Linked DNA regions of Schizosaccharomyces pombe. The gene in region 2 interacts genetically with the main gene of each other region. Each region holds a gene or a part of one and is shown on either strand. Other genes may lie near its edges.

Region 1 (4,510 bases), 1.6 Mb from region 2:
GTTATCTCACTAGTAGACATACGACGAATGCGCAATAAAACTAGGTAATCATAACAAACAGTTTGGGAGTTGGAAAATCGCAATAAAAAATTTTATGCTTAATCCTTAGAAAACAGCAAGCAAAGGTTTCTCATTTAAGTATCAAAAGGAGAAAAAATAAACAAAATAAGGACAAAAACGATGCCCGAAGTAAAATCTTTGCTAATGAAACAGAAAAATAAACTCAAAGCATCCATGGGCCTTTTCATCTATTCACAATGTATTTCTTGATGAAGCTAGTTGTATAAGTAGACTACTAATTTTTGAAGGCGAACTTTAAAAAGGAAATCCGCGATCCCTATAGTAGTAGCGGATGTATATACATCAAGCAGTATTAACAAATCAGAATTGCATCAAAAGATATTCCAATAGATAACAAAGCCACACGAGAAAGCAAAATAAAAGTCCAACGACAAAAATAAAACAGATACTGATAAGAAGTTGGTTCCTTTTTTTCGGTATACTACTTTTCAATTTTTTTTGGGAAATTTTTTTTTTCTCTGTTAAAATTTGAAAAAATAAGAAAGTAGAAAAGCAAGATCAAACGGCAAATTAATTTCAAGAGAGCCGAATTCATCACGGAGATGATTAGAGAATACAATATGACGGGTTAAACAAAAGTTCCCGTCATACAATATGAAAAGAGAAAAAAGTTACAAGAATAACAAAAACACGTAAAGTGTTTATAAGCGCAAGGAAACGAAAAACAAACCCCGTCAAGCAACAACACCCGCAGAAAGTAAGCACGATCACTAAGTCATTGCATAGCGATTGTACACTGGATAATATCCCACGGGTGTATAGGGATAATAGTAGTTGCAATTAGAGCAAGAACGTCCAGAAGAGGGCGATGGTGGTGCGTTGGTGCTCAACGTAGTAGGGCTATAAGTTTTTTGTTCACCAGAGTATGTAGCGTTTGAGGAAGTAAACAAAGAATAAGAAGCACTCCACCACTCCCATGCCTTTTGACCACGAGGACCGGGACTAAGATTCCAGGACATGCTAGCTAGCCAGTCTTGTTCAAAGCTGTTCAACAAGGCAGTACGGAAACCAGTAACTTGCGACCAGGATTGATTGGTAAACGTATTGTCATCCAAAAACTTATTAGCCAAAATCAAGGCGGTCGTTAAAAGAGCACATATTTGGAAGAATAACGACTCCTTAGTCCACTGGTTTACAAAATCAGTCGTTTGAGATGCGGCGTCAAGACGATCGGAAAGGTATGACAAGGCAAGCAAGCAAGAGGCACGAGGTAAACGCGTAGACGTCAAAATTTGTGTAACGACCTTACGGAAAGAAAACACAAGACCAGGTAAAGAGTTAGCAAGAGAATGCATTTGAGCATTATTCAGGAAACGAGCATACAACTTACAAGTCATGATAGACAAGTATTCCACCATTTGATCCATCTTGTAATCCAGTTTAGCAGCAACACCTCCGGTATAAACGGTTTCTTCCTGATCCTCCATGTTAGTTTTGCAGACAGGAGAAATACGTTGTTGAACGTTAGCAACCGAAGGCATGTTAAGATTACCTGGGATTGTATTATCAGTCTCGGAGGTAGTAGTGGCGGTATTGTTGGTTACAGGCACATCTGCTACGGGATGTCGAGACTGATAAAAGGAAGGAGCACAATTGTTAGCAATCAAAGGGGCGGAAACGTTGTTACATGCAGCTGATACATTCACCGAATTGCCAAATTGATCTTGGTTAGGATTATAGGCAACGGCAGAGTCAGGCATATAGCGTTGCTGGGAGGGTGGTGGAGGTGCGGCAGATGGAACCGACTGATAAGATGGCCAGTAATAGTTTAGAGGCGCAGAAGGGTAGAGACGTGGTTGAGGTTGCTGTAAACGGTGCTGCGACAGAAGGGAAGGAACAGCGGAAGGATGATGAGAGGAGGAAGGGATGGAGAAGCCCGACCTTACCGAAAGCGTATCGGGCACAGAAACGCCAGGTAAGAAGGACGGACGACGCTGGCCAAGACCATACATAGGAGCATGACTCAACAAAGCAGCAACCGAAGAAGCAGAGTTTGCACTATTGCTGGACGAAACAGGAGCAAACATACTCAAGCCGGGGGCAGCCAAAGGAGGCTGAACTTGAGAACGTGAAGTGTGCTGATAAGGAAACGACATTGCTGAAGAATTTCGAAAAGGAAAGCAAATTGAAGAATTAAAAAAAAAATTTTTAACTCCTTTGCTATTCTACCTAATCAAGTCTTTTTCGAGTTTTGTAATCGATTTCTTGAGTACTCCTTTCAAGGAAAGAAGAATACAAAGGAAGAACGATAAAAAAAAATGAAAAAGAGATAAAGAATGCTCAACAATAAGAAATTTACCCAAGAGACAGGAAAAAGACTTATTAACACTCACTTCTAGCAAAACCCGACCAAGGAATGCTTGTTTCGCTGGCAAATAGACGAGGCTTAGTAAAAAGCTCGACTTCTGCAAAAAAACTGCTAATATAGAAGGAAAAAAATAGGATTGAACCCTCCAAACTAAATTTTACGGTGGTTGGTTGTGCGCAGGTTCTGAAAAGCTGGTAACGCAGTTGAAAATGCTTGCAACTTAGGAAAGAGAATTTTTTAGGAATAAAAAATTTCACTTTGTTAAGCACTGAAAAATAGCGTAGCGTTGAAGATTATTCAGCAAGAAAGTTAAACCCAAATTAAGATATCTAACGTAATAGATCGGTTAGATAACTTTATGGATTTTAATTAGCAATTGCCGGTGAGGAAAATTGGGAGCGAGGTAAACAAACAATGGGACAAGCAGGAAAAAAATCAAAGAAAAATAAGTTAAACGTAGCAAGACAAACAATAAGTATGTAAAGAGGAGAATTTGAAAGTTATCTAAATAAAGAAACAACTTGAGAAGTAAAAATCGAGTAGAAAGTGAAATGAAATGGAAGGAGCAATTAAAGAGGAGAGAATAAACAAGAACTGAGTATGATAGACGAAAAGTAGACGGAAAAAAGAAATTAAAGAGACAAGAGAAAATCAACTGGTGGATGTCTTTGTCGTATAAGAAAAGATGTATAAATAGAAATCAAAGATTAAAAAGGGAGGTAATGTTTACTTCAGCAAGTTGAGAAAAAAAAATTCAACAATTAGCTTTTCGAGACAATTTGGAGTGAAACGAAAAAAAAAGTAAAAAATAACAGTAAACAACAAAAACTGAAAAAAAAGGGGAGATGAAGAGCGAGTAAAGAAATCGGGTTTGTAATTATAAAAGGATAAGTAGGGATGAGCGATTAGATGAATGAAAAAACAGAGAGAGAGAGAGAGAGAGAAAAAGAAAAAAAAAAGGATTAAAAAGTAAAAGAAAAAGAAAAACAGACTACAAAATGTAAGCTGAAAAAAAAAAAAAAAAAAAAAAAAAAGTTGTTCAAGTCTCAAGACAGTATACAGTACGCAAACTTTTTTGAATAAGGGCTAACCAAAGCACTGAGTGAAGAGTGTATTGGCAGTTGGGGGGGAAGCCGTAGAAAGAAAGCAAGGCAGATGCTTTATATATATATATATATATATAACTATATGTACTTGAGTAAATAAATAAAAAGATGCGCGCATAAATACAATTGTAGCAGCGAAAGAAGAAAACGTAAACAAACAAACCAATGAAAAATTAGGAAACCAATGACAGCATGAATACTCAGGAAAATGAGAGAGAGAAAACGAAATTAAAAGAGGAGAGTGAAGGCACAGTAAAAGGAAAGGGAAACAAAATAACAAAGCAAAGCCAAAACAAAAACAAACGATGCTAGAAAAGAAGAAGGCGCGAAATCAAGGGCGCGCAAAAGAACAATTAAGAGTGTAGAGAAGAAAACGCGTGAAATTAAAAAATAAAAGGAAGAGAGGAAATGGGGAGGAAGGAAGGAGAAAACGCAAGCAAAGTTTGTTGATGTATATAGGCAAAAAGCCGTCGGAGCCAGAATGAGCATTAACGGAGCACATGAGAGGGAGACAAACCTTGTTGAGTGGAGAGTGGAAGGAGGGAAATGGAGGAAATCGTTAAATGGGATAATGAAAGAGAGAGAGAGAGAATAAGAAAAAAGAGCGAGGAAGAGTGGAGTGGTTGAGGGGAATAGTGGGGTGAAAGGAGGAGGAAGGAAGAAGGAAGGGAATGCAGGGAGTGATCGTTAAAGATTTGGAAGAGAGTGGTTGAATGAAACGGTGAATACGATAGTGAAATAGAAGGAGTCGATATGAGACTACGTGGATTGTCTTGTCTTACTAGTTCTAGGTAAACATCTGTAGCAAAAGATTGGTTCCTGCTGTTTGAAAATCATTTCATTTATTGGAGAATACGGTGGAGAAAGGAAGATCGCTAATAAGAAAAGGGAGAGGAAATTATCATAGGTTATGTTTGTTTTATTTTACATTGATCTATTGAAAGAAGGAGGTGCAGAGCGATTCTTGAAAAGGTCGTTTACGGTACTATGTTAGAAATTGTTAATGAATCTATTG
Region 2 (3,179 bases):
CATAATAAGAAAAGGGAAAAATTATTGATTTATGCCCTGGGTAAATCTGTTCATGCTAACAAGCAGAATTAATTGATAAATGCATTGGATCAAACTTATGGGTGATCATGAAAAGTGAACGCGAATTTGCGGGGACACTTGTTGGATTCGATGATTATGTGAATATTGTTCTAAAAGATGTTACAGAATAGTATGAAATATAATAACTTTAATTATCTTTGCTAATTTCTATGAAGTGATACTGTTACCGGCGTTACCGAAAAACACTCTGAAATGCTTTTGAACGGAAATGGGATGTGCATGGTATGTCAATGAAAATAATAAAGGAATTTTTGTACACTAACTATCTAGTTGATTCCTGGTGGAAAACCCGAATAAGTTGGTACTTGGCTATTTAACAGTCTTTTGAAGATGAAGGAAGAGTGATTTTTGTTATTATCAAACAAATGGAGATATATTGCACGCCAAATCTAGCTCATACTGTGTGCACTCCATATATGGTAAAATATCTAGACCCAAGTCTCACTTTTTACATTAATTGAACAACAAGCGTTGGTAAAGCCATGTCTTCGGATACGGTTAAATTTGATCGAGTTATTTAAAGAATTTGATTGCAAAAATAAGGTATTTTATAGGACTGGTTGCATGTTTCTGAAATGAGTGATTATTCAAAAATAAAGGCTTAATACTTCCATCCTCCATAATTTTTCCTATTAGTGATTGTATCTCAAATTATACTACCAAAATGAATTGTTATTTCAGATGATGTAAACTGTGTTAAAGTTAATTGTTTGAATGTAATCTGACTGTAGAAATTGGCATAAACGGGATATGCATAGCCTACGATGATAGCAATTTTTCTTCTAATTTGAAAGACAACATACTAAACATTGATTTGAGTAGCCTTTACAGGATCTTACTATTCAAGTTATCTCTTCCAGCCCATCTGGTTGAATCATACTGACTTTTTTTTGTTCATGTTGGCCAAAATGGGGATTTATTATGATTATACACTGGAAAAAGTATGAATATTTGTTGTTTATCATTAATATAAACTAAAGTGACTAACCTTGTTATTGTAAACTCAAAATTTTGAGAATTAGTATCTTCAGCAGTTTTATGAAGGAAACGAAAAAGTAAAATTAAAATGAAAACGAAGTTTAATACTTTGGATTTATATATCTCATCATTTATACATTTGGATTATTAAGAAATTTTTGAATCCTCTCTTCCCTTATCCCTAAATAGTTAGAGAAAAACGACAAAACTCAGCTAAAACCATTAAACTTTTTCGTTTTAAATTCCAATCTCGTTGCTTTTAGGACTTGACTTTTTACATAGATGAAAATCACTATCGTAATGCTTTTGCTTTTTTTCTTTGATTTCTTTTTTTTGGCAGATTACAGCCGTCTTTCAATATAAACGCTATATTACTACAGTCTTTGTAAATATTATCTACTTGGTGCGCAGGCCAACCCGATTATATACTTTGATTTAAATCCCATTTAGCCTTAGAATTTTCGTAACAATAGCTCTGGACTCCTAGTAAAACTGTATTGCTTCCTGTATATTTGAATCATAACTCTTTTTTTTAAAAATTAATCGATTTTGAATCAACTAAACTGATTCTTGCGAATAATACGGATTTTAAATTGAGATATAAAAAGTTAATTTATTAATCCTTTTACATTCATCTATCTACTTGAATCAAGAAAAAGTACTATGAAGAAACGCTCGTGATTTAATCTGCAATGTTTACAGTCGAGTTTGTTACATTTCACTAGTGCTTCATAAAAAATTAGCGATCTAAATAAGTGCACGCAACGTTGTATTCCGGTTGACAAGAACACGCAAGATTTCGCAATAACTTAAAGTCTAGGATTGGCGTCACAGACAGTAAAGACGTATTCGTCCATTTACCAAACATTTTTATAATAGTCCTATGTCCTTGGCGTTTACGCTTTTAACCTCAAAAGATAACACAGATGAAGATGAAGAACACTTGGAGCTTTCTTCTTTTAATCAAGAAAAGCTCTTGGAAATGATATCTGTGTTTCTCTCGCGTCTAACGCGTTTGAACGATAGCAAGCAGGAAGCTACTGAATCAGATCAAATACCATTATCTCCAACAAGTTTAAAGAACCCTTGTTTGATATTTTCTGCAAAAAATGTGCCTTCCATATCTATTCAGGCTTATCTAACACGAATCTTAAAGTACTGTCCTGCAACTAACGATGTATTTTTAAGTGTTTTGATTTACCTTGACAGAATTGTTCATCATTTTCATTTCACTGTCTTTATCAACAGCTTTAATATTCATCGTTTCTTAATCGCTGGGTTTACGGCCGCAAGCAAATTTTTCAGCGATGTCTTCTATACTAACAGTCGCTATGCAAAAGTTGGTGGTATTCCCTTGCACGAATTAAATCATCTGGAGTTATCTTTTTTTGTGTTTAATGATTTCAATCTTTTTATATCTTTGGAGGACCTTCAAGCATACGGTGATCTTCTACTTTCATGGTATCGGCAAAATGGGCAGAATTACAACCCTACCGATGTTTCATGCTCTATTGAATCTCCCATTTCCCATACTCCGCAACAAAATCAACAAGATGAACAGCCACGTCGGCCCATAATGGATCGAAGGTTACTCTCTTCTCACTCAATTGGTTAAATTTACTACTGTGTTTGGTCCTCCAAATTTTTTTTTGCTTCCATCTATTTATCTTTATTTTCTGTTGAAAATATTTAATCTGATTATTTAAAACTTGGAAAAGTTACCTTGGTGCCTTTTGTCTGTATATATATATATTTCATTCTGCTGTGTCAATGTGGATACGACTAGTTTCTGAATTTTCAAGTGGCCTTTAAATTTTGTACTTGTATATGCTATTTCTCCTTTGTCTCTTATTTAATGTTTTTATCTCAAAACATGCCGTTTCATGAAATTCTCATTTATTACATTCGGATTATCTGACTTGCAATAAGGTTTTTGGAATTTGGAAATTGCATGCTACTTTTGTATTCGGTATTCTACTTTACGATGCTTACAACGCTTACGGTATATTGTGCTTTGGTTCCTTGTTTAAGTTAAGGCTGTTGTAAAGGTCCGCTATGATCAAAGTCCTTAGCTTACTCCGCTATCCCTGTTCCATTTGTTCCTTTCTCTTCACGTTGCA
Region 3 (3,973 bases), 650 kb from region 2:
AAGCACTTCGTTATCTTTTTTTTTTTTTTTTTTGTGATACTGTATTACTTAGAATTTATTTGAAAAAAATGTTTCTATCATATCGAATGTTTAAGATGTAGGTGTTCTTACGTTTATACCTCGTATATCATTGACTTTATTCTATTGACTTCAATATATGATATTAGATTACAATTCAGTGATTGAAACAGAGGCTGAATTCCAATTGTTTATTTCATTTTTTGGCTAACGGATTTGTTGAATTGGGGTGCAGTCTAAACTACAAAGACTCAAACCAGCTGACTCAATAATGTAATATTAAATTTTCAGCATTAAGCTTAAAAAATGATATTCATCACCCCAGTTTCTGAATTCAGGTTTGAAGTTCGATCAAATGAGGATTAATGTTTGAAAACCGAGCATTTTGCAATCTACTTTAAATTACCTTCAGAAAGCGACTAAACAATCTTGTGCGTTGAAAGTTAGCTTAAAAAAGTTACAATTAAAATTTAACTTAATTACTTTTTAAATTTATGATGTCCTAAACAAATCAATATTGCTAAAATAACCAAATTCCATAAACAAGAATTAAATAAGTGCAGAATTAAAAATGAGAGACCAATAAGAAGAGTTAAGGGGATAATCTTTAGTACAAGTTGACCTATATACATGATATTGGGGAAGTGAAGTAGAGCAATGAATTTTGAATAATCATAAAAAGTAGTCGGCAATGGGTCGTTTTGTTGGAATGCCAGATCTTTCTTGAGAGGCAGTACCAAAAATCTTAAAGGATTGCGTTTGGTTTTCATCAAGTTGTAATATAGAAGCAACATTTCCACATCTGTAACAGTAATTGGGTGCACTCCAAACAGTAACCACGCTTCCTTTATCCTTTTCTGGAATGGTTATTATGTCTCCAGGTGCCGGAGAATCATCAACAGGTGAGGCAGAATCTGAATCCAGCTCAGAGTCCTCTTCATTTGTAAATTTGGGATACTGTTTATCTTTATCGGAAAAATGGATTTTGTAACCCTCCATAACCAATTGATGAGCACGAGCAATGAATGAAAGGTCATTAGCGCGATTAAAAACTTCAGAAACGTCGGCACCAAACAAAAATCCAGCACCTCTGGGAGATAAACCCCATCCACTAATATCTTCTGGATCTGACCAAAGTAGATCACACATTGCTCCTTCATGCGGAACTTCTTGTTTTCGATCCAACAGTCGAATCTTCATAAAAAGCGTTAAAAGTTTAGTTCAAATTTTCGGAATTAATAACATACCTGATCGATACTGCTGATGCTTGGTGAAAGTCCACCGTGCACACAAAAAACCTTTCCATCCACCAAAGCACCAAGCGAAAGATAATCAAATATTTCACAACAATATCGCCATACATTGGCAGAACCATATTTCCTTACACATTCGTCATAAAATCCATAAACTTGTGTTATTTGTCGTGATTCATGATTTCCCCGGATAAGGGTCATCTCTTTCGGATATTTACATTTTAAAGTCAATAACAGGAGAAATGTTTCTACAGAGTAAAACCCTCTATCAACAAAATCCCCTAGAAATAAATATTTTGTACCTGGACATGACCCACCAATTCGAAAAAGCTCCAGTAAATCATGCAATTGGCCATGGATATCACCACAAATGGTTACAGGAGATGAGATCCATTGTATGTTAGATTCCTCAATTAAAATATCTCTTACACGCTGACAAAGTTCAACAACTACCACAAAACGTTAGACCCCATTCTTATAATTATGGCAAAGAACAACCAATATGAATGATCGTTGTTATATCGACGGAGATAAAAGTTATTCTATAAATACTATTATACATACCATTTGATTCTGGAATTAACCTTCCGTTCTCCAGTTCCTCAAGTTGCCAATCCAAATCTAAATCAGTCATTTTGAACTCGTCAAAACATAAAGTAAAGAAAACTAGAATAACTTGGTCCTTTAGAATAAGAAAATAAACAAGTGAAATTCTTTTTCAACTTTATGTATCATTTAAGAAATTTAATTTTAAATAAGTCAAAATACCTCTGTCAAGAGGTATGACGCGTAGAGCTTTGGTGACTAAAATTCGGTTTTCCTTTTGATAATGACTTTTAAAATAATTAACATGACCTCCTTAATTAGCAGCTTCCGAATTTTATTGACACATACGTTGCGTTACGCTAGATTGTTTTTCAGAAAAATACGGTTGCTCCACCATTATTAGTGCTTTCATCTCGAAATGAAATGGACACAAGTTTTTGTATTAGATTGTTTTTTTTTAATCATTTATACTTAAAATTAATGATGAACTAGAATCTTTTAATTAAGTTGCATGCTACTCCAGTATGATTATTATAGCATGCCGTATTATCATTGATCTTGAGTTTTTATAACGCTAATACAAGAACGTGCACCTACTCATATATATATCTAGATTATAAGAAAAACTCCTATAGTTCTAACGGATCTAAATTGTTCGCACAAATGCGCAGCTTTGATGTTATAGGGTTTTTGTGAAATAAACTACATAACACTATAGCTTCTTGGTAAAAATCAGATAACACTCACAATTATAGGTAAAATAATCTGTATGCTGAAGGCGTACCCCTGTGGCGGAATATACACTCAATATAGAAAAACTGTATAGTCAATTCGTGTTGCAAACCCATAATTTATGTGAAGCTTTAACATAATTTGCATACTATTCTTTACTTATGTTCAGTCGGCAACTCAAGATGTTCAAATAACTAAAAAGATTTTAGAAATATATTCTTTCTATCTTTCAATATGGTTTACTGCAATTTGCGTACTATCAAAAGAATGAGGTGTGTAAGAAATGCTTGCCCTGAGCAGTACAATGCAATTTTTTAATACTTTAACTATATCAATCAATGTGTATGCTGTTGTTTTTATCAAGTATGAAACATATCTCATCTTGGTTGTTTTGGTCGCTTGTTATAAACTCATTTGGCTAGTAAAGCGACTGTTAATTTTATGTACAACATACAAAAATAAAATGTTAACAGAATTGTTTGGGTATTACGTAGAATCGGAGTATAAGCGCAACACACTAGTTTTTTTTGCCGAAAAAATTATTTTCCAGACGTTTTAATACCGAGGGATAAAGTTATCTGATCAGTCACGATGGTAATTAAAAAAATGAGATCGAGAATGCCGTTTAATGAATAGACAATGAAAAAAGTGAAGAAGAATCATCAAAACGTACATCAAAAGTGGTTTAACTAAAAAATTTCGAGTAATTTACTTGGATATGTTTTTTGCTGCAATTATATCATTTGCGTCGCCTATTGTGCAAGGAAGAGATTTTACTAGATACGTTTTCTACACTGCTCAGCCGAACCTGCCGACAACCAACTAGGAAAAAATAGGGCGTTGATTGTTGATTAAAAAGAATAAACTAGGTTTTTGAAAAAAAAAGTAGGAAAAGAAATAATTCCTCAAGCTGTGCTATTTTGATTGGAAATGAGCGTCGAAATTACTTTTGTTGAACAATTTCAAGAGATATTGCAAAATGGAAAAGAGCAAATAATTTTACTCAATTTTTATGCACCATGGGCTGCTCCATGCAAGCAAATGAACCAAGTCTTTGATCAATTTGCAAAGGACACGAAAAATGCCGTTTTCTTAAAAATTGAAGCTGAAAAATTTTCCGATATAGCAGAGTCGTTTGATGTAAACGCTGTTCCTCTATTTGTTTTAATCCACGGAGCAAAAGTTTTGGCTAGAATTTCGGGGGCAAATCCTCAAAAATTGAAGGCTGCTATTGACGAGTATATTCAACCCCTTATCTCCCAAATATCCTCTACCAACGCGTCCGTGGAAACTCAAGTAAATTCCGTTCAGACTACCAACACTACTTCCAATACCTCTAAAGCTCCAAATGGGTTGGATTCTGAACTAAATGAAAGGTTGAGCACGCTAACAAATGCTCACAATGTTATGCTCTTTTTAAAGGG

What was found. Genes that interact genetically often act in the same process or in processes that back each other up.
Region 1: of psl1 (region 2) and clg1, changing one suppresses a phenotype caused by changing the other (phenotypic suppression), as found in Schizosaccharomyces pombe (one study listed by BioGRID).
Region 3: of psl1 (region 2) and pph3, a mutation in one rescues a mutant of the other (synthetic rescue), as found in Schizosaccharomyces pombe (one study listed by BioGRID).

What each region holds. Positions count from the first base shown.
Region 1 is NC_003423.3:1,745,250-1,749,759, forward strand, and holds clg1 (cyclin Clg1), read right to left. Parts: upstream 2,568-4,510; 5' UTR 2,178-2,567; coding exon 792-2,177; 3' UTR 528-791; downstream 1-527.
Region 2 is NC_003423.3:3,301,364-3,304,542, forward strand, and holds psl1 (pho85 family cyclin), read left to right. Parts: upstream 1-1,918; 5' UTR 1,919-1,942; coding exon 1,943-2,674; downstream 2,675-3,179. Other genes in the region: U6 snRNP-associated protein Lsm5, read left to right, coding at 67-190, 237-303, 352-378. UniProt on the Schizosaccharomyces pombe protein: Cyclin partner of the cyclin-dependent kinase (CDK) pef1 (PHO85 homolog).
Region 3 is NC_003423.3:3,954,025-3,957,997, forward strand, and holds pph3 (serine/threonine protein phosphatase), read right to left. Parts: upstream 2,063-3,973; 5' UTR 1,906-2,062; coding exon 1,836-1,905; exon of another isoform or gene 1,721-1,835; coding exon 1,266-1,720; exon of another isoform or gene 1,232-1,265; intron 1,213-1,231; coding exon 691-1,212; 3' UTR 528-690; downstream 1-527. Other genes in the region: CIA machinery monothiol glutaredoxin Grx4, read left to right, coding at 3,480-3,973.